2 linked regions of the Arabidopsis thaliana genome follow. The protein of the gene in region 2 interacts with the protein of the main gene of each other region in a pairwise test. Each region holds a gene or a part of one and is shown on either strand. Other genes may lie near its edges.

What was found.
Region 1: the proteins of AT5G63350 (region 2) and RTL1 interact in a two-hybrid assay, tested with the Arabidopsis thaliana proteins (one large-scale study listed by BioGRID).

Annotation. Positions count from the first base shown.
Region 1 is NC_003070.9:30,307,218-30,318,454, reverse strand, and holds RTL1 (RNAse THREE-like protein 1), read right to left. Parts: upstream 3,934-11,237; 5' UTR 3,847-3,933; coding exon 3,742-3,846; intron 3,558-3,741; coding exon 3,350-3,557; intron 3,222-3,349; coding exon 3,098-3,221; coding exon of another isoform or gene 3,094-3,097; exon of another isoform or gene 3,015-3,093; coding exon 2,855-3,014; 3' UTR 2,453-2,854; downstream 1-2,452. Other genes in the region: HA9 (H[+]-ATPase 9), read left to right, coding at 1-98, 176-280, 374-683, 761-1,275, 1,353-1,526, 1,601-1,783, 1,865-2,046, 2,132-2,228; AT1G80640 (Protein kinase superfamily protein), read right to left, coding at 4,217-4,342, 4,453-4,542, 4,622-4,737, 4,828-4,909, 5,014-5,110, 5,213-5,276, 5,354-5,486, 5,582-5,823 and 2 more; AT1G80630 (RNI-like superfamily protein), read left to right, coding at 7,840-9,576; AT1G80625 (uncharacterized protein), read right to left, coding at 9,846-10,244, 10,398-10,598.
Region 2 is NC_003076.8:25,375,455-25,386,343, forward strand, and holds AT5G63350 (von willebrand factor A domain protein), read right to left. Parts: upstream 5,864-10,889; 5' UTR 5,671-5,863; coding exon 4,762-5,670; 3' UTR 4,477-4,761; downstream 1-4,476. Other genes in the region: NPX1 (nuclear protein X1), read right to left, coding at 1-200, 290-420, 513-579, 677-801, 891-974, 1,059-1,131, 1,298-1,368, 1,767-1,925 and 2 more; AT5G63340 (uncharacterized protein), read left to right, coding at 3,440-3,598, 3,655-3,758, 3,910-4,100, 4,156-4,220; AT5G63375 (uncharacterized protein), read left to right, coding at 8,586-8,715, 8,849-9,033; AT5G63370 (Protein kinase superfamily protein), read right to left, coding at 9,500-10,889.

The sequences.
Region 1 (11,237 bases), on a different chromosome or scaffold from region 2:
ATTTCTTTCCTTTTAACCCTGTGGATAAGCGCACTGCTATCACTTACATCGATGCTAATGGAAACTGGCACCGTGTCAGCAAAGGCGCGCCAGAGCAAGTAATACAAAATTCATTTCCTTCTTCTCTCAAGAGTTTTCAAATTCTTTCCCACTGATTATTCTCTGTAATTCTTAGATCATTGAGCTCTGTAACCTTCGGGAGGATGCAAGCAAGAGAGCTCATGACATCATTGACAAGTTTGCTGACAGAGGACTTCGTTCTCTTGCTGTTGGCAGACAGGTATAATATTTAGTGCCAGTCCCAAAACTTTGGGATTCATTTGTGTTTCTTTCTCTTTTATCAATGCTCTTTTTCCTATTTTTTGAATTTCAGACTGTCTCTGAGAAAGACAAGAACAGCCCTGGAGAACCATGGCAGTTTCTTGGTCTGTTACCTCTCTTTGACCCTCCAAGACATGACAGTGCAGAGACAATCAGGCGTGCCCTTGATCTTGGTGTTAATGTCAAGATGATCACTGGTGACCAACTTGCCATTGGTAAGGAAACTGGTCGTAGGCTTGGGATGGGCACAAACATGTATCCATCTTCTGCTCTACTTGGACAAGATAAGGATGAATCTATAGCTAGCCTTCCTGTTGATGAACTCATAGAGAAGGCAGATGGTTTCGCCGGCGTCTTCCCTGGTAAAAACAATCAAATCTTCTACCTTCACAAGTGGTTCAACTCCATAAATTTAACTCTGTTTCATCTGTCTGATTAGAACACAAGTATGAGATTGTGAAGAGGCTTCAAGAGATGAAGCATATTTGTGGCATGACTGGTGATGGAGTGAACGATGCCCCAGCTCTCAAGAGAGCTGACATTGGAATAGCTGTTGCTGATGCGACTGATGCAGCAAGAAGTGCATCTGACATTGTACTAACCGAGCCAGGGCTTAGTGTCATAGTTAGTGCTGTCCTAACGAGCAGAGCCATCTTCCAGAGAATGAAGAACTACACAATCTATGCAGTTTCAATCACAATCCGTATAGTGATGGGATTTATGCTTCTTGCACTCATATGGAAGTTTGACTTCTCACCATTCATGGTCTTGATCGTTGCTATCCTGAATGATGGTACTATCATGACGATATCAAAGGACAGAGTAAAGCCTTCTCCACTTCCTGATTCATGGAAACTCAAAGAGATATTTGCCACCGGCGTTGTTCTTGGCACTTACCTAGCAGTCATGACTGTAGTTTTCTTCTGGGCTGCAGAGAGCACTGACTTCTTCTCTGTAAGAGAGTTCTATCTTACTTTTATGACCAGCTCGAGTAAGTGTATGTGTTGATCTTCAGTTTTCTCTTGGTGCAGGCAAAGTTTGGGGTGAGATCTATCAGTGGAAATCCGCATGAGCTAACAGCAGCTGTTTACCTACAAGTTAGTATCGTGAGCCAAGCGCTTATCTTTGTAACAAGGTCGCGAAGCTGGTCATATGTTGAACGTCCTGGCTTCTGGTTGATCTCTGCCTTTTTCATGGCTCAGCTGGTAAGTTAAAGATTCAGTACTCTTACATAAGAAGCTTCAGTATATACTGACACTGTTGTTGTTTTCATTCCAAGATTGCTACTTTGATTGCGGTATACGCAAACTGGAATTTTGCAAGAATCAGAGGTATTGGGTGGGGATGGGCAGGAGTTATCTGGCTCTATAGTATAGTCTTCTACATCCCATTGGATATCCTCAAGTTCATCATCAGATATTCACTGAGTGGAAGAGCATGGGATAATGTCATTGAGAACAAGGTTTGCTTCTCAGGCCAATACTGATGAGAACAAGAACACAGTAGTATAATCCTTTTTCCTAACCTTTGTTCCTCTGTTCAGACCGCTTTCACGTCAAAGAAAGACTACGGAAAGGGAGAGAGAGAAGCACAATGGGCACAAGCGCAACGTACACTTCACGGATTGCAGCCAGCTCAAACCTCAGATATGTTCAATGACAAGAGCACTTACAGAGAGCTTTCAGAGATAGCTGATCAAGCCAAGAGACGAGCTGAAGTTGCAAGGCAACGCTCAAGTAACTGATTATTCCATACCATTAGGTTCCTCAGAAAATGGGCTTACAAACATTTCTTGTCTTGTAAATTTCAGGTTAAGGGAACGTCACACCTTGAAAGGTCACGTGGAATCAGTAGTGAAGCAGAAGGGACTAGACATTGAGGCTATCCAGCAACACTATACCCTGTGATTTCAGAAACAAGTGTTTCTCAGTTTAGTTTTAGAACCCCACAAGAGTATTGAATAAATAACCACTTCCATAATTAGAGAATGCTGCAAAAAGAAAATTGTTTCTTTTGTTAGCAGTGGATGTGGCTTCTTCTTTTTTTATATTTTTGAGATATTCTTGTTTTTTCCTTTTTTACAAGAGTAATAAGATCTTACAATTACTTAGAATTCTTGAGTAAGTTTCTTCTAGTCTCTGTCCGCGCAAGAGAGAATGCAACAAAACCAAAAAAAAAAAGAATGCTCAAATCTTAGTTGCAAATGAGAAAAATCAGTGTTTCAAATCTCACTGAACTGAATTCCCTCCTTCAGTCTAACCAGACAAAGTCTCCAAAGCTTTCTCTAACTTGGATGACTTGAGCTCTTCTATTCCATAAACATAAAGATAAAGATAAAGGCTCCTTACTAAGGAGAAATATAATGGCACAAAGTTTGAAAGAAAAGTTCTGATACAGATCAAAACTGTTACAACCCATAGAGCTATAATGAATTAAAAGATAGGTATAATATGGTTCAAGCTTCCCTCGTTAGAACTAACTATAGATGGCTTTACTAAACTCTCCAGCTACTTCATATCGACTAAATGATGATTTACTGATGCGGCTTTGTCTTCACATGCTCAAGATACCAAAGCGCTCCTTCTGCTGCATGCTCAGCAGCAGCTTTCTTTTTGCGTCTGGGATCCCCAAAACACTCCAAAACAGTTTTCCCTGAAGAATCTCTAATCTCAACCATAACTTTGTATGTAAATCTGAACCAAAAAACCAAGTTGATGCAAAAAAGATTGCGACTCAAAAAATAAAAGCAAGTGCAGGTTAGAAGATGTTTACTTACAATCTCAAATGGCAAGGTCCATCAACATTGCAGCATTCATAAACAGGAGGTCTCCAACGCTTGGAAGCACACATTTCGTGTAACACCGATTTAGCTGAGCCTCTCCTAGTCTTAGATTCATCATCTGGAACACAAATTTCAGAACAAAATGACCAAAATTCTATCTTCTATACCAAAAATTGCAATCTCTGTTGGTTTCCGAACAAGTTTACATCATAATTAGCAAAAGAGGTGAAGAAAAAATGAATGAACCTTTAGATATGGGTTTGGTGGTGGTGGTGTGTTCTTCATCTGGTTTAGGAGCAAGCTTCTTCTCTAGTGAAATGCTTCTTGTGCTGTTAGGATCAATTTGAATGTTAGAGAAGGAAGAAATGGCATTGTCTTCTTCTTCAAACTTGAAGTCAGTCTTCTCTTGGAATCTCTGCATTCCCACATTATGATGATCTTGCGCCATTGGTTTCTAACAATTGACAGAAGCAAAGTTGAGATATTTATTACTATTAACCCATGATATAGCCAAATCACAGAAGAAGAATCATCTACAAATAGAAAACGCAGAGATTGTTCTCTGTTTCAAACCCAGATGATCAATTTTTTTGTTAGCGAGAAAGAAGAGAATATGGTTGGAGTGAATGAATATTTACCATAGAGGGAATAGAAGAAGGGTCGAGAGGAGGAATATCTTTGAGACTGATGATGATCGATCTTGACGGTTTTTTGGTTATCCGCTTCGTTTCCTGATCCTCCATCTTTCATATTACTACTCCTTGTCTAATTCCCAGATATCTTTCTTTGGGAATCGAGAAATTGAAAATTTTATCGATCATCGACAAAACGGATAAGGTTCATTAATTAATTCATTTCCCCACAACAACAAACTCTGTTATAAAAAGTCAACGTTTTTATTTATTTATATGTTAAAGCTTTTAAACCTTTAACTTTTACTAACCAAACTCTACTAACTTGTCTCTCGGTTCCATTTAAGCAAAACTTCCGAATTTTTTGTAGCAGTGATTAAACATACAACAATAAATTCTCCGGAAGAACCAACATAAGAGACAAATTCATAAACGCATTGATCTGTTACAAGAAAAAAAAAAAGAAAGGGGAAATGTTTTTTTATAAAATCCGCAATGATCCACCGAGTTCTACTGGTAGAAGAGGGATGAGTGAGTGCAAGACATCGGTTATAAGTGGTCTGTAACTTGGCTCCGGCTGTACACACAACACCGCCACCGCAGCTACCTGTCCAAAGAAAATATAACACAAAGTTCAAAGAGGAATCTTTTTCCTTCTATATTTGGCTAATGTGTTTTTCGTAAAATCTGTGTGAGATTTTGTTGAAGCTTTTTTACCTGATATAGATGCTTCAAATCCATGGTTCCTTTGATTGCAGGATCCAATATGTTTGGTAGATTAGCTCTATCACTCAGCTTAGGTACTGCCTGATGATCAACAAAGATCACAAGTCAGAGGATTTCCTGCTAAACGAAGCCACTATCTCGTGAAAGTTTTATTATGTACCCAAGTAACGATGGATTCTGGTTCAGAAGACGGTTTCTCCACTGATTTCTTCCCGAGGAGAAGTTCGAGCAGGATCACTCCAAATGAGTAGACATCATTCTTGTCTGTAACTTTCCCTGAAAGATGATTACAGAATGGTCGAAATTTGAGCATCTCGTTTGGCATATATGTCAAGATCGAACCCCGAAAAAAGATTAACTCCTTACCATCAAGAAGATCCTCAGAAGCCTTGTGTATCAGGTTTTTATTCTGCGTGGTCAAAACCGTGGCAAACCCAAAATCGGATATCTAAAGAGAAGCAAATGTGGCAACAGATCCTTAAGACTCATATTGTATGGAGAATACAATAAGTCTAAGAAGAATTTTCTACATTATATCATTTTCTCTTTTACCTTTGCATTGAAATCGGAGTCCAGAAGGATGCTAGATGATTTCAAATCTCTGTGAACTACAGGAGGATGGCAATGCTCGTGAAGATACTCTAATCCTCTTTATGAAAAAAGAATACTTTGTAAGCATACAAATATATGTTCTTGGAGATCACATGGAACTACTAAATGTTTGAAAGTATTATCAATGAATGGACTTTACCTCGCTATATCAACCGCTATCTTCATCCTGAGCTGCCAAGTTAAACCTGAACCTTGACTAGGCCCTTAGAGCATTCAAAAGCACAACAAAATCAAAATCAGATGACAAAAGATGGAACAAACATGGATCATATCCCCTTACCATGTAACTGACTCTCCAAAGATCCATTCTGCATCAACTCATACACAATACAACTCGTTTGCCGATATACGCAAAACCCCAATAAGGAAACTATGTTCTGATGCCTGATCTTAGCCAACCAATCTACTTCAGTCTGCATTAGAAAATCAACAAGAGAAAGCAAAAAACCGAGTTATGGTTTATCGAATGAGATGGTGCGATTCTGTATAATCATCTTAGGGGTCAAACCTCAAACTGTTTTTCAATGTCTGTCTCCCCACCGCCATCAAGTTTCTTCACAGTGACTGAGGATTTTTCATCGAGACAAGCTCTGTAAAGGCATCCACGACCACCTCGGCTCAACACATTACTATCACTAAACTTGTTTGTTGCAGATTCCAGCAATTGATATTCATACACAGGGATGGTTCCTTTCCTCACAGAATCAATCTTGTGTACAGTCGGTTTCGTGGTTACACTCTTCACCGAATCTTCAGATAACCAAAGCACCAAAATAAGCCATAACAAAACCAAGGAAATTACAAAAATATAAAGAGATAGAATTGAATACCGGATTTGCGTTTGATACCGGTGAAGCTGTTCTTCATATTCCTGTACCTCCATAGCAAGAGATACACAAGGAACATGACTGTGACACAGAGCAGAGATGATGAGACTATAAGAGCAATTAGAATCTTCTTGTTCAAGTCCTGGCGAAGCACCACTTTAACAATGGGAGGTCCTGAGCAAAGTTAAATTTAAATAAGGGATAAAATTCAATTTATTTGCTTAATTATCGGAAAGTTTTCAGTTTTAATTGGGAAACAGTATCAATTCAACTAAATTCAATTCCTTTATGAAAGTATGAGCAAACACATTTCGACAATTTCAAGAACTAGTAAGACCCAATCACCAAATATTGATATTTTTGTTCTTAGGGGCAACATGGAGAAAATTTGGAAAGGGGAAACTAATAAGTACCTGGGGATTGAGCTCCCATTCGTGGAGAAGCCTGAGAAATGGGGATTTCGGGGGAAGCACCAGAAACGTAGACAACGGAAGATTCTTGTGATTTAGTAGCAGTGGAGAAGAAGAAGAAACCAAGAAGAACCCAAATGGGTAGCAAATGACGAAGGAGACACATATTTAATTTTGTTGTCTGGTATCAACAAATATGCAGAGAAAAGACAAAAAGAGAGAGAGAGAGAGATAAAGAGTACGAAGCTGCTTCGTGTTCTATCTAATTCTTTTATGGAGATGGTGAAAAATGCTAGAGATTATCTTTGTCTGGAGGAGATGTAGACAAGAGACACTGTTGGAGTTGGGAAACAGAGAGAGAGAAGGACAAAGGTTTTAGGTGTTTGGTCTTCATGTGGCAGTTATGAAAAGGTGGACAAAAAGGCTAATAAAGCAGCAAAGAGTGCCTAATCCCAGACGTGGTGATAAGACGTGGAGTTGTGGAGAGAGTGAGGAGGAGGATGTGTAGTTAGCAAAACAGTTTCTTCCCATTAGCCAATCTTTAAAATTTTGATTTTCTCTCTACCATTACAACAATTTAACATCCCAATGTTAGAGATGATGCTGATACTACTAGTTGACAAATAGAATTAAACCTTTTATACGTAAAGCTAACAGATTTTTATCTATTAATTAAAGCCTTGTTCCTTTTTCTTTAACGTATAGTTATACTATATCTTTATTAAATTAGAAAAATCAAGAATACAAAGAAAGTACATAAAGCAATCAAAGTACAATCCAATTACATAAATGGTGTTTTTAATGTTCCTTCATATTCATAAGTTTAGTCTTTTAATTTCCAAGAAAAAAAAAATACATCTTGTCGTAAAAGAAATTATTATTTTTAATCAGATTAATAAAATGGTGTGATATATGGAAAGAATATGGATTGAGAATGGATTGTGTAATCTCTCGATAGAGTTGTTTGCATCGAGGCACAGTAATCCAAATGATTCGATTGGGTCACTCCCCAAATTCAATTCATGCGGATTTAGTGAACAAAACGACAAGTCATGGTTTAATAGAGTGCATCCAAGAATTTTATTCTTTTTATTTTAAAAAAATACAGACGACAAAGGTCCAAAAGTTTGAGCATTATTCATGTGAACTCTCTATGTCTGTCCTCTTCAAACTTTAATTACCGACACAAGTGGTCACTGACTAGTCACAACTGTACAGTTGAATAACAACTAGACTTATTGAGGGCCTTACAAGAATAATGAGCCTTTTATATCTTATTGGGTCAATACAAGCCCAGTTTTGAAATTTTGAAATGAATCAGTCGTTAGGCCCAATATCTGTTGGAAAAACAAATATAGTTATTGGGCCATTAAGGAATAAAAAGCCACAACAAGCCCAGTTTCGAAATTTTAAAATTGGATAAGGTTAAAAGCCAGCTGCCAGCGAAATTGAAGGATGATATATAGTTAGTTACATACTGTGTTTGTTGTTAGTTTGATTTGAGCTAATCTTCATCAAATCCATCATCCATGGATTTACCTGAAGAATGTTGGGAATTAATCTGCAAAGCTATCGATGAAGACGATTATCGATTCCTGGAATCTGTTTCACTCGTATCAACCTTGTTCCTCTCAATCACCAATCGCGTTCGCTCTACTTTCGTCGTCACCGATCGAGCTGTTCCTTTACTCAATCGTCATCTCCTTCGATTCCGCAACTTGAAGCGAATCAGGTTCTCTGATTTCACTCAGGATCTCAATTCGATTCTTCTCCAGGTTTCTCGTTCCGGTTTGGATTTCGAATCGGTAGATGTCTCGCAAACGCGCTATTTCCCAGATTTTGAGATGAAGAATGTCAAGGAATTGAAATGTTATGGAGTTGGAGGTTTTAGTGATAGCGATCTGGTTTCCATCGGAGTGAATTTTCCGTTGCTAGAGAAGCTGGACATTAGCTATCCTAATTCAAGTCCGAGTCGAGTCTCTGATTCTGGTGTTATCGAGCTTTCCTCGAATCTCAAAGGTTTGTTGAAGATTAACATTTCTGGTAATAGTTTCATCACAGATAAATCTTTGATTGCTCTCTCGCAGAATTGTCTTCTCTTGAGAGAGATAATCTTCCGTGACTGTGATTTCATTTCGTCGGATTGCATCAAATTCGTTCTTCGCAATTCCCGTAACTTGGAGTCTCTTGCGATCAACGGAATCGGATTGAGACCGAGGGAGTCTTTGTTAACCGATGCGTTCTTGTTTGCTCGTTGTTTGACTGAGCTTGATCTTTCGGATTCGTTTTTGTCTGATGACTTGCTCTGTTTGATTGCTAGTGCTAAGTTACCTCTAAAGAAGCTTCTTCTCTCCGATTGCCACGGTTTTACTTTTGATGGGATCTTGTATCTGCTGGACAAGTACCAATCACTAGTTCACTTGAACCTCAAAGGAGCAAATTTCCTCTCTGATGAGATGGTTATGAAATTAGGGATGTTCTTTCGGCGTTTAACCTTTTTGAATCTGAGTTTCTGTTCCAAGTTAACTGGTCTAGCATTCTTTAGTATTATTGAAAGATGTGTTTCCCTGAGGTGCATGATAATGGTAGGGACGAACTTTGGAGTGGAAGAATATACCAAGGATACGAAGGATTTCAAGTCAGGGGTCAAGTTTTTGTACTTATCTAGAAACCACAATTTGCTCGATGAGTGTCTCGAAAAGATATCACGGCATTGCCCTTTTATAGAAAGTCTTGACGTAGCTCAGTGTCCTGGCATCACGAGAGATGGGATTCTTGAAGTTTGGAGGAATTGTGGCAAGCTAAGATCTTTGGACATCAGCAGATGTACGGGCATAAAGAGTCTTGGTGTAGTAGACTTTGAGCTTCCAAAGTTGGAGTCTTTGCGAGCATGTGGAACTTGGATCGACGATGAAGCCTTAGATATGATCAGCAAAAAGTGTCGAGGGTTGTTGCATCTTGATCTGCAAGGATGCTTGAATGTGAGTTCAAGAGGGGTGAAGGAAGTTGTGCAGAGCTGCATACGTTTAAGAGAGATTAACCTCAAGTATTGTGAAGCTGATAAGAAAATGTACACTTGGATGGTTTTTGCAAATCCATCTCTTAGGAAAATCGTACCGCCATGTGGGTTTTCTCCAACTAAAGCACTCAAGAACTTCTTTCTGCGTCATGGATGTGTAGTCTCCCAGGATTCTTCTGAGTTGCTTTCTATAGCATACCGTGCCAATGGAAGAGATGATGACACATTGACTAGACTGATTATTTGAGCCATTTGTGAAGAAAAAAGGTATCAGCATAATAGTTTGAATGGAGAAACAGGGGTTAACCTTTCTTTGAGTTTATATTTGTCACTCTCGTTGTAATAAAATTGTCAAGCCAAAGGCAAGCTTGCGTTGATTTTTTTTTCAAATGTTCAGCCATCTTCTTATTCAATGATAGAAGTAACCAGCACTACTACATTGCAAATCAAAGCAAAGAGTAGTAACAAAAAGTGAAGACAAAAAACATGAAAACAAGTCACCAAGGCAAATAGCAATCACTCCCTCTTCATTTTTTGGGTCTTATACCTCAAGTAGCGAATCATATCCTCAGGATCAGAGACTGTTAAAAAGGCTTGGCGGTGAGCTACATCAGCCATCAGATGGTCCATGGAAGCACGGTATAAAGGCAACCACTTCTTCACTCTAGGTAGACCATTTAAAACATCCATTGCATGCGTCACACTGCATATGTAATCAGGATGATTCTTTAGTGCATTTTGTAGAGAGCTACCAAAAGCAGTAAAAGTTTTCCTTGCTATACTTGCAGCTCTGCTTTTCTTTTCGTCCAATGGTGGTTTCTTCTCTACTAGTTGTTTCTTCTTGGGTCTTCCAGGTCTCCTCCTTTTTTCTTCCTTTGGCTGCTCTGTTATTAAAACCTCGCTTTGTATTTCATCCTAGAACTATGCACAAAGTATCAGACTTTTCCAGTTTTACCACATTTCTTAATGGTAACAAAACATGCCAACATAGTCTATGGAAGATCTCGTTTTAGACTAATCGCTTTGACAAAGTAGAATGCTTGACGAGTTAAGAAGGAGTAAACTTACAGGTTTCTCTCTCCGATATCGATTAATAGCAAACCGGTCAAAAACATTGCCTGAATCCCTCGCCCGGTCGACGAGAGGTTTCTTAGTAAAGAAGTTCGACGGTAATTGAGAGGGTAGGCTTGATGAGGATGTTGAGAAAATACGGATCAGAAATGGGTTCAAGTCGAACCTTTGTTTTGGTCTGAGTAGATGAAACGCCATGAGTGACTGTTCTTACTTCTTAGGAGAGGAAGTCGAAGAAGATGTAATAAATAAACTCTCAAGTGTCGTTTCAAATTCAATTGCTTTATCCCGGTTATATGTTTACCGGGTTGAAGTAACGGTTCACTCTCTCTACTCTAATAAACCATCGCTGACTTTAGAAATTTGAATCCCAATATTAACCGGGTTGAAGTAACGGTTCACTCCCTCTACTCTAATAAACCATCGCTGACTTTCGAAATTTGAATCCTAATTTGGTAAAAGGCCAAAAGTAAAGCCATTGATAAAAGACGACTAACGATTCCGTGCACCTCTTTCCTCCGAATCACCTCAGTTTCTGTTCCGTAGGTGTTCACTTTTCATGTTTAACATGCACCAACCCTAAAGGTTAAAAAGGATAAAGTGGCAGTAAAAGATAGATGCATTGAGAAAGATAAGTTGGAGAAGTAAGTTTATTATCACATTCAAAGTAATAAAGACAATGTCAACGAAAGTATCCCACAGCTTTATTCTCTTTTCGCCTAAACAGCCTGCAATCATAATCTCTAGTAGAACAACTTTCCTCCCCAAGATGATTGATAAGAGAGACCCACATTATCTCTTTTGCCATAATGAAAAAGAACAAAAAGAGAGTACTGA
Region 2 (10,889 bases):
ATATACAGACCTAGATGTTCTAATGGATTACTGTTGCTTTCCATCTTGAAACTACCCAAACCCAACATATCCTCACTAAACTTGGGACTCATCACTTCCATGGAAGTCGGTAATTGATCACCTTCTGTACCTGTAGCTCTAAGCATCTGGAGGTCTTCCATAAACCGTATGCCCTCGTTTATCTCCACTGTCTTTTCCATCTGCAACAGACCAGAAAGTCATTTATCATGATTGTACACCATGGTAGGGCTCTGAATAATAGAAGAGAAACTCGAAAAGTCTTTTATACCTTTTGTAAAGCTTGACGTGCAGCTTCTCTCTCTTGCTCTCTTTCCCTCCTCGCTTTTTCTGCGGCTTCTGCTTTGGCTTTTCTCCGAGCCTCCTCAGCTGCTTTGGCCTCGGCTTGTAACCGTTCTTTTTCTAATCAAACGGAAATCGCAAGAATTAAAAATAAAAGTATTTAGTTAGGAATTATGGGTACATAAGCACACTCGAATGCACTACAATCCAACCTTCCCGTAGCCGTTTTTCAAACTCCTCTCTTTCTATCCTCAATTTTTCAGGATCCCCTTTTTCACCCTGAAATTTGATGCATTAAATTTTTTGATTAAAACAATCCACAAGTTCAGGCGAGCTTTTTCGTCAACACAGTAGATCGGACACTTAAAAATTCAACCTTGGTAAAAGCCTTCTCTCGAGCTTTCATAATGGTATCAGCAAAACGATTCTTCAAGAAAGCCGCGCGGTAACGCTTATCTGGGGAATCTGGGGAAATTTGCCTCTCAGGTGGAGCAGTCTCCTCTATAATACCAAAGCATGACAGGTAAACTCATGATCTGAAAATAAACATCTATTACCATCTCCAACCTTCCTTAACTTTCATTTCTTACCATCTGGAACGAGAACTACTGCATCCATGGTGGTTGACTTTTCCCCAACAGTATGCTCAAGTTGATCCAATTCATTCAAAGAATCTACAGAGAACAAAGAATGAGTGTCGGGAAGACTTCTATATCCGAGCACTCCAACTTGCATACATCAATTATAAAGAGACTAACCATTTACAACTATCTTCTCACTGTTGCTATCATCCTCTTTTTTGTCTATACCAACTCCTGGTTGCTTTTTTTCCTAAATTAAAGAGGAGACTATACTTATTTTTCTGTAGTAATTTCACTTTTATGATTGCAAATAGTCCATGGAAATATTGGTGAGTAAATGAAAAATCTTGCAGAAATTAGAGCAACATCCAAACACAGAGACTCCATAACATAAGTTATTCCACTGTTAGATATACCTCTCTACTTGTGGGTTTTGAAGCTTTAATAGAATCTGTTTCACTCCCAGAGGAACTACAAGAATCAGAATCTGAAAGATAATCACAGAACACATCAGTATAAAAAGCACTTCCTATGAGTAAAAATAAAGCAAAGGAATCAATTCTACAGTTTGCCAAACCACAATGTAAGAACTTAATTCATTCGTCATAAACGATAACCACAGAAACTAACTATAATATCCTCTATAGCAAGGGAATAACCACACTTACTAGAGCAGAGAAAAAGCATCGAAAAGATAATATGGGACACGACGTAGGCTCAAATTACAAAACAAGACTCAGGAGTCCAATACTAATCATTTCAATAGAAAAGTTACTTTATTTCCAATCTTAACTATTCTTACAAACTGTACAAATCAATGCACTATTTAAGAGAAACAAAATGATTATTCTAAGGAAATAGAAGAAGGCTCGCATAAACACGAACCACTAGATGAAGAGCCTGATTCACTACTAGAGCTACTCGAACTGCTGCTTTCATTATTTCTACATGCAGCATCTTTTTCTATCTTAAGAGGAGGATGGCTTGAGACCGAGGGGTCATTCCCACCAACTATGTCAACATCCTCGTCAATTTGCAGATCACCTGTGATTATGAGTACATCAGATACTCAGATTACTGAAGGAAATCATTTTCGACATCAAATTAAATAGCAAAAACATACCTTTACTAGGCTGCAAAGGGGAATTACTGAATCCAGAGTCATGAACAATCTGTAAAAGAAAAGTTAAAACCAAAAGTCAAATGTCAACATTTCCAAGTGCACACAAACGATTACTAAAAATAATCAGAGAGGTTCTTTACCTCCATCTCACAAGGTTCGCTCTTTTCCATGGATTTCTTTTTCTCCCTTAAATAGTCATCCAGGAGTTTCCGAACCATGAACAAGATTTCATCAGAAAGCGCTTCTATATCTATCTCAATCTCACCTTCTCCAGATTGACCATCACTGCCACTTTGCTCTCTCAGGAGATCAGCAATCTTTTGAGGGAAATCTTCTTCTAATGCCATCAGATCTTGGCCTAATTTTTTCTTCTCACCATCTGTCATGACCAACTTAGCAGGTTCCACCCTCAGCTTGTTATCGTTCATTGCAGCTTCCTTCTTTCTCATCGGTGCTACTTCGAAAGGGATTTCAGACTCCAGAGAAGCAGAACTGGTTAGGGGAATAACTGGTGGTTTAGACATAGGTATTTTTTTCTCTATACTTTTCCATCCCGATTCAAAATATTTACTGATACCCTGAGCCATAGTATGGAACTGATTTCCTGGTGGATTGTAAGCTATAGAATTTGAAAATGTAAGACGCACATCTGCTGCAAAGTCCAAAGGACTAGAGTATTCACCTTTACACAGCCTGCTTCGTATCGTTCCAAGATCCATTGGATGTTTAATCACATTAAAATAGTCTGGAATATTCAACATCACTGGATCAACTGGAGTACGAAATGGCCACCCCGACTTATGTGACCATAAACGATTGAGTAACGTCTCACACTCCTTCATCACTGAAGCAACAGTATAACTTGTTGGGACATTTAATCGAGATGGACCTTTCTTATTCCGCTGCTTATCACTGCGCACAGGAGGGCGCTTTTTGCCCTGTGACCCAACAAATGTAGCAAAGTTTTCTGGTGGCGGCCTCCTAGGCCCATCACTGCAGCTATGATCATTGTATGGCGACAACAGAACAGTGTCTGAACTGAAAGATGCAATCTTCTTACTAAGGTCCCTGACCTGTTGAAGCTCCATCTTCAACTTGTGAACTAAATTCTTTCTCTCAGACCTCGACATCTTTGACAGAGACAAAACCTCTTTAGAAACGCCATTGTTATCTCCATTCAAACCAAAACGTCTCCTTTTCAGTGGAGGAGACGCCTCAGAATTCATCCTCTCTGAGTAAACAAATTCATCAGGCTCAACAGCTTGCATGTAATCAGGAACAAAGCCTGATGGTCTCCCTCTAGAGTGTTTCCGCGCTTTACCCATCGTTTGCTATAAACCAGAAACCCAACAGTTCATTCGCTTTTCAGAGTTAATCGTCTTCACACCATCAAATTAGAATATAAAACAAACTAAAAAAAAAAATCAAGCAAGTAATGCTTTTATGCCTTTGCTCCAAAAATCTTGCAGATATCTTCAACAATGAATCTATAGACACCATTCATCGTTATCGAGCCAAAACACAATTCCCCGAAAAAATATCACAAGAATGCGATTACCAAATCAATCCGATGATGAATTCCTATGAATTGCACGTTGACTTACCAAACTGAGAATCCCAATTGGTCTAAGCTTCTTGCTTCTCCCTCAGGTCAAAATCAAATCAAATTCACCGAAGAAGTATCTTCCTCAACGGCAATTGGCAAAAAAGCTAATCGAAACCCTAGAAAAACCCTCGACTGAGTCAAAAAAAAGGTACCAAAATCGATTTGGAAAACCCTAGATCGAGAGCTTCTGGATATCTTTTCGAATGGAAAACTAAAAAAAAATTCGAAAAAACGAAAGAGGTGAGAGGAGAGAGAGAGACTTACGAAGAATAACGAACAATTTGCTTCTCTACTTATAGATCCGAAGAGATGAGCAGCCCGCCGCCTTTAATCGAATCTAAGCCGTTAAATTCCAGCCAACCAAATCTAGACGGCTACAATTATCCTTTCGATATGTACCGTCGATATTTAGATCTAACGGCTGTGAAGGCTACGGTGCAATCTAGTGAATCTGGATCTCTAATTGTTTTGAGAAAAGATCTTGGAGCGCGTGAGTATTAATACTCCAAATCGCAAGAATTAATAGATTACACGTGTTACTATAGCGCGTGTAATAGACGCGGATACCGACCGACATTGTCTCCACTATTTTGACTATTTTATCCACTAAACGCGCCCTGTAAATAGCGCGATTGAATTACACGTGCCTATGAATCTTTTGATTTTCAGGCCCATTAGTGAATATCATGAGGCTACCCATTAGTAAACTATTTATTTTTCTACGTAATGCTCTTGTATGGGCTTGGGAAGACTGTTTATTATGTTAACACCTTTGCAAACGAATGTTGACAATTTCATCTTCAAGCTTAAATGACATGAAAACGAACAATGTGAAAAAGAAAAACTTTAATGATTGTAAAAGGCATACATATATACAACTTTCTTGAAATTTTTAAGCAAAACAAAAAAAAACATAAATTTGAGATTAGCAATTTAGAGAAAACAGCATTTTATAAACAAAATACTAACTAAAGAAGAAAGCAAACTAAAAAATAAAACACAGAAACATATGTTCAAGGTGAAAATTAAATAACCAAAGTTTATCACTTGCTATATTTTTAGTTCTACGAAGGGCCATGTGTGATACGATACGATCGGGACCATTCATCATTTTCACCATTGTAAATCCAACGGTGGCGAATGAAAGAACGTCACAGACACAAAGCTGCCTTAACGTCAAGCCTCCACGCAAAACCACCGCCGTCCATTCTCCACACGTCACAAGGCACCGTGACGGATCCTCTTTCTCGATCTTGACACGTGTACTGTAATCTCACTCTGCATGTGAAAGCTGGGTACGTTAGCATCGGCCTCTCCTTCATCACTAACCGTACGTTCACGTGAAAATTATCGTAACTAATATCCTCCGGTACACCTTCCTCCATCGGAATATTAATATCTTCTCTAGCCATCTTCTTATACGCCTCATTGGTCCACGTGACTCTCCCTACACCGTCCGATATAAAACCAGGACACGTGTCTTCCACTAGATTCATCTTCCTCTCCTGATTTGTCTCCCCTAATCCATAACCGTCGATCCAAGCGTCAGTCACACGCTCAACCGTCACACACGACGAAACCACCACCGTCCTTCGTGATATCTCCGCCGTTTTGTACGGCGTTAAAATCTCACCACCGCCGTTGAAACTCAGCCATAAAGGACCGTTTCGCTTCTGCTTCTCCACCGGAAAAGCATTCAGATCTGGAAAAACTCGTTTCTCAGGCGTCTCTGGTAAAAGAGACAATGTAACCGCCGTGGTAGTAGCAGTGTCTCCACTTAGATCTCTCTTCTTCTTATTGCACCTTCGGGAGTTCCCACCGGAACAATCTTTTTGATACTTTCTCTTTCCTCTCCCAGATTTACCTGAGAGATCGGAGCTTCCACCACTTGTAGTTGTGGTGGAGCCGCTCTTCCCGGTGAGAGAGACACTTCCACCGTCGCTGGCCGGTTTAGGAGCAATGGGACGAAAACGAAGCATGATTCGATCTGCTTTGGAGAGACCGTAGCGACCACCGTAACCACCATATCTGGCTATGCAACAACCTCCCCTACCGTCCATGATCTCTCTCTGTATATATCTTTCTCTCTTAATAGGTTTTAGTGGGAGCTTTGAAGAATAATGAAGAGAGGTGTGTGTGAAGGGGTTTATATAGGGACTCTGAAGATGACAAGTGTTGGGTTGATACGCGTGTCTTTGTCTAGAATACGCTTATCACCGTTGCACTTGCACATGCTCTTTTTCCTTCTGTAATGGACATGAAAAATGAATCGAATTTATGTTTAAAACTATTTTCTAAAACGACAAAAAAAACTATTCAAAAATGGCATGACATAGAAATATAATTAAACTTGTACTATTTTTTTTTTATCACAAATTAAGCAGTACTTATTGTAATTTAATGTTTTAAAAATGGTCGGTGTTTTGTTATTGGAAAATTCGAAGTTCTCAGTATATTGGTCTAATTAATATTTGACATGAAGGTATATATTTGATTCTTATATTCGGTTGTTCAATCAAAGCGCGGATGAAAAAAATATGATGTTAGCATTCGAGATTTTTATAATTAGACGTATACATAAGGAACGGAATTGAGAACCTAATCTGGTCTAATAGTATATAATTAATTAGTAGGTCCCGTGGTTAGCTAATAATCACTTTGACCCTTGTGTTTACTACTTTAGTACCTGAATAGTATACTAATTTGTTTGGCCTAAAAACAGATAATCATGAATAAATGCCAAAATTAGGTTAAAATATAGTACATCGAAATGAAAAAAAAAAGGTAATGTTAGGCATGGTCCAAGAGATGAGGGTTCATACATTATCATTGACCGATTCTGAATTTAATTTAGTGGAATATAATCTTAATCAACTAAAGGTGATCGTGACTCTAGATCTCAAATCTTTATTAACGGGACAAGGTCGATGATCTCATGTCCAAAGAGGAATTTTGTGCCAATGAAGTTAGGCCACCTCTTTTATGAAAGGGAAAGAAGGAACATTGGATGGCGTATAAATAAAAATCATGAGGGAGTGACGGTATCATGGAGCCATCTTAAATATAATCATACAATTGATTCGGAAAAAGTATATATGGACATGAGAGTCAAAATCTTATTAAAAATCCAATATAGTAACATAGAAATAAAGTAGATTCGGAAGGCAGTTCGAGATGGCATCAAGAAAAATCTGATGGGTTTGTGTTGCGTTGTACGTTGCACGCAAGAGGACACGTAGAGATATGTAATTAGCTTATCAACTTACAACTATAATTTACACAAACAATCTCATTATTTAATTAACCAAGGCTTAATAATTAGTCCATATATATTTATACATTCATGAATGTGGACGAAACTGATGACTGATGTTGAGACTTGAGAGTTAGGTTTGATTCTTTAACATTCGATATCTCATCTTCCATTTTTCGTTATTACATATTTTGTTGCAAGGAAAACACGATATACCGTATAGAGTTGATGTAGCTAAAGTTTTAATTCAACAATGTAATCTTGATCATTAAAGTATAGATGATTTTAGTGGTTCTACTTGACGTCCCTACAGATAGTAAATGCAATTATCAAAAACATGTCATAGTTACTAAAAGAAGAAGGATGCACAAATACAATCTTTTTGGGTTGGATCAGATCAAATTATATTTGGCTTAAAGACATTGATTACTACGTATATATTAAACAAATGAATAAAATTGACTACCTTTGCTCTCACCCTCACCTGCTGATTCTATACCTAATTAATTATATAATACGATAGCCAACAGTTTCAACATAAAACCACCATCGAAACATACTACTGATATAATATGCATATGGGACAAATGAAAAATGAAAAATATAACGGATGAATAACGAAAAATGAAAAATATCATTAATGATATAATATGCATATGGGACAAAGCAATCTTATCCGTTACGGACTATATAACATATCATTTCTTAATCATATATTATATACGTATATATATAATCGTATATCATCAGTAATATATTTGTTGTAAGAAAAACACATACTGTATATACATGACCAAAAACATTTCGCTTTATGCATTGATGTAAAAAAATTAAAACTATACATAAACACATCAAAAATTACAGACACTTAACAGATGTACCATGTTTTTTTAAGAATCAATAGTTACAAAATTTGAGAAAAAGGTGATATTTTGTCATTTCGTTGGATATGAAGGAACCAATGATAAAACATCGTTAGTTACTAATTCAAACAACAAAAAAAAGAACCCCGAATTTAAATGCTCACCATCGACAAACCTTGGCTATTTATTTTATAAATATAAGACAAGTACTAAATCCTATCAACACTAAACAATAAAATCGAACATGTTCACCCAATTATAATCTGACAGCTGAAGAAGATAAGGAAATACTAAATATAGAGAGGTTCGATGACAGAGAGAAAAAGGTAGACTGAATCACCATCAAAACCACGCCCAAGAACCCTAATTGGGGAAAGTGGCCAAATGAATTCTCGCCACGTGTGGATCTGATGGTGTCAGAGTCGGTAAAGTTTAAAAAAGGTAATGTGTGATGTCTCGATAAGGGCTTTTAAACTGGTCGTTTTGTCTGGGACACTTGTACAGTTTTGGAAAGGAGGACCCATGACTAGGGCATTCTTTAGTTAATTTTAAACTTGATAAATCAGTATTTCGTTTCTATATATTTGTTTATGAAATTCTGTATCATTAGAGAAATCAGATGATGTGGCAATCATTATCTGTTCTCTTTAATCGACCAAAGGTTCGAACAAAATATCATTGTTGGTTATCTGATATAGAGAAAACTAATTTAGAAACCTCGTTTTGAAAAATTCCAACTACAATATGAGATTTGATTCTACAGGAGTTTGGAATATGGGAAAGGGAATTTACAAAAGTGATTGTTGAAACATTACCGATTGTTAAATGGTAATAGACAGCTGAAGCTGCACAATGACATATGGTAAGGAGCTGGGAGCAAAAGACTAAGGACCGAAACGATGCAGATCATCTCGCAAAAGAAGCTTTTCCTCATATTGATCACTGTTGTGTGTTGTGTAATATCCTTTCTGTTTATGGCCTCGTCAAAGGTAATGCTGATTCTAGTTTATTCGTTATTGAAATGAACTTGATTTAGCTTAGCTGTTTACAGAAGTTAAAAAGAAAGGAGGACAAAGGGTTATAGTGTTGAAGACAAACTTATTTTAGCTTCTTTCTATATAGCTTTTTATCCCAAATCCCTTAATTCTCGGATTAACATGAAAAAAACCACTGCCATACCTCCTATGTCCACAGAAACTCATCATGAATCATCTTTTTCTCACTGCCAACAGACCAAATACGAGCACCTCAAAGACAAAGGGACGTCGAACAACAAACCAACATTGATAACAGAGCGTGGTAAATAAGTAATCAAAATAAACTTACTGATGTCAACTTCCATTCTCACGTTTGTGATAAACTCTTTGCGTTTACCTCGTGAATAAAAACAATGCACAGAAGAAATATGAGGACATAAACAATAACCATCCCAACCCAATTACTAGAGAGAGAAAGTGAATACTGAGATCTCTTCCATTAAAGCATGTGAGTCAATAGTGTGTACAACTCTTGATAGCAATAACATTAGGGTCCTAACGAAAAGAGAGAAACACACCTTTCAGTTTTACGGACCACTCATATTTACACATGAATCCGAATAAATGGTACACTAGAATGCCCTGAATCTCCAGGCAACAAAGCAACGCAACTGAGTTAAGAATAGATGAAAGCAAGTCTTTTGAGTAAAAAGGAAAATACCAAAATACGACCAGTCGACTTCCCTGTGTATTTGTTGACATCCTCTCGTCCAAATGATAGCACGTTTTTTCTCAGTTACCGCTTTGGAGGATATGTCGGCATGAAATCTTTGGATTTTGGTAACGGGACTTCATGGAACCAACCATGGTTGAGAGCATCTTCCACTGTTAGACGTTTCTCAGGGTCCAAAGTTAGTAGACTGTTCAGCAAATCAAATCCACGTTCAGAAAGAATTTGACCACCTACAAATGAAATAGCTGGAAACTTCTTACGTAACATATTGTAAGGCTGTGTAGGAAACTTGGCTTTAGCATTCGGAAATGATGAGAACCCAGGCCATATTGCTTCGTTTGGTGTTCCAAGGACCGCAAAGATCTTCTGAAGTTGGTCAAGCTCACTCTTACCCGGGAACAAAGGCTTTTGAGACAACAGTTCAGCCATAATGCAACCCACTGACCACATATCAACTGCTGTAGAGTACTCTTTTGCTCCTAGAAGAAGTTCAGGTGGCCTGTACCACTGGGTAATAACCATCTGGGTGTAAGGCTTGATAGGGCTCCCATACTGGCGCGCCATCCCAAAATCACATATTTTTAACTCCCCACAATTGTTCATCAGAAGATTAGATGGCTTCAGATCCCTGTGGATAATCCAATTTGTGTGGAGGTATTTCAAACCATCCAACAGCTGCATCATCAAGCACTTGACTTCGCTAGTGCTAAAAGGTTCCTTCCTTCTATCCATTACTCCCCTCAGGTCGTGTTCTAAGTGTTCCATGACCATATAAACATCATTATCGTTTTTCCCTCCAACCACAACCTCCTTCACGTTCACAATCGCAGGGTGATTGCATGACAAAAGTATGTTAATTTCCCTCAATGATGTCAAAGGGAATCCATACTCTTCTTCGAACCTATCTTCCTTCATCTTGATCTTTTTGAGCGCAACAATCTCTTTTGTTTTCTCATCCCTTGCTTTGTAAACAATTCCATATGTTCCTTCATTTATCTTGTTTAGCTTCTGAAATTCATTCACAGACCTGCTCCCAAACATCATGTTCATCTCTCCCGGAGTTAAAGAATCTTGATCTTCATGTTCTAACTCATCATGATCAGAACTATAATACTCACGACCAGAATTTCCATCTGCACTAAGCTTCTCTACGCTGAGATGTCCACTGCCAGATCCAGACGAATAGCACTGCTGTTCTTCAGACACCATTACTTCCTCGCACTCCGGTGTCAAACTGCTCCTGTTCCATCTATTAGTCTTGGAAACGTTAACAGATATTAACTCCTCCTTTGGGGAAGTCAAACCTGTCCCCCACCTAGATGTCTTTATATTTGGTTCCTGCATCACTTGTTCTTCCTCCAACAGACCCTCCTTTACATCCTCCTGCATCACCTGTTCTTCCTCCAACTGACCCTCCTCCAAATCATCAACAGGATGTTTCACAGCCAGCAGG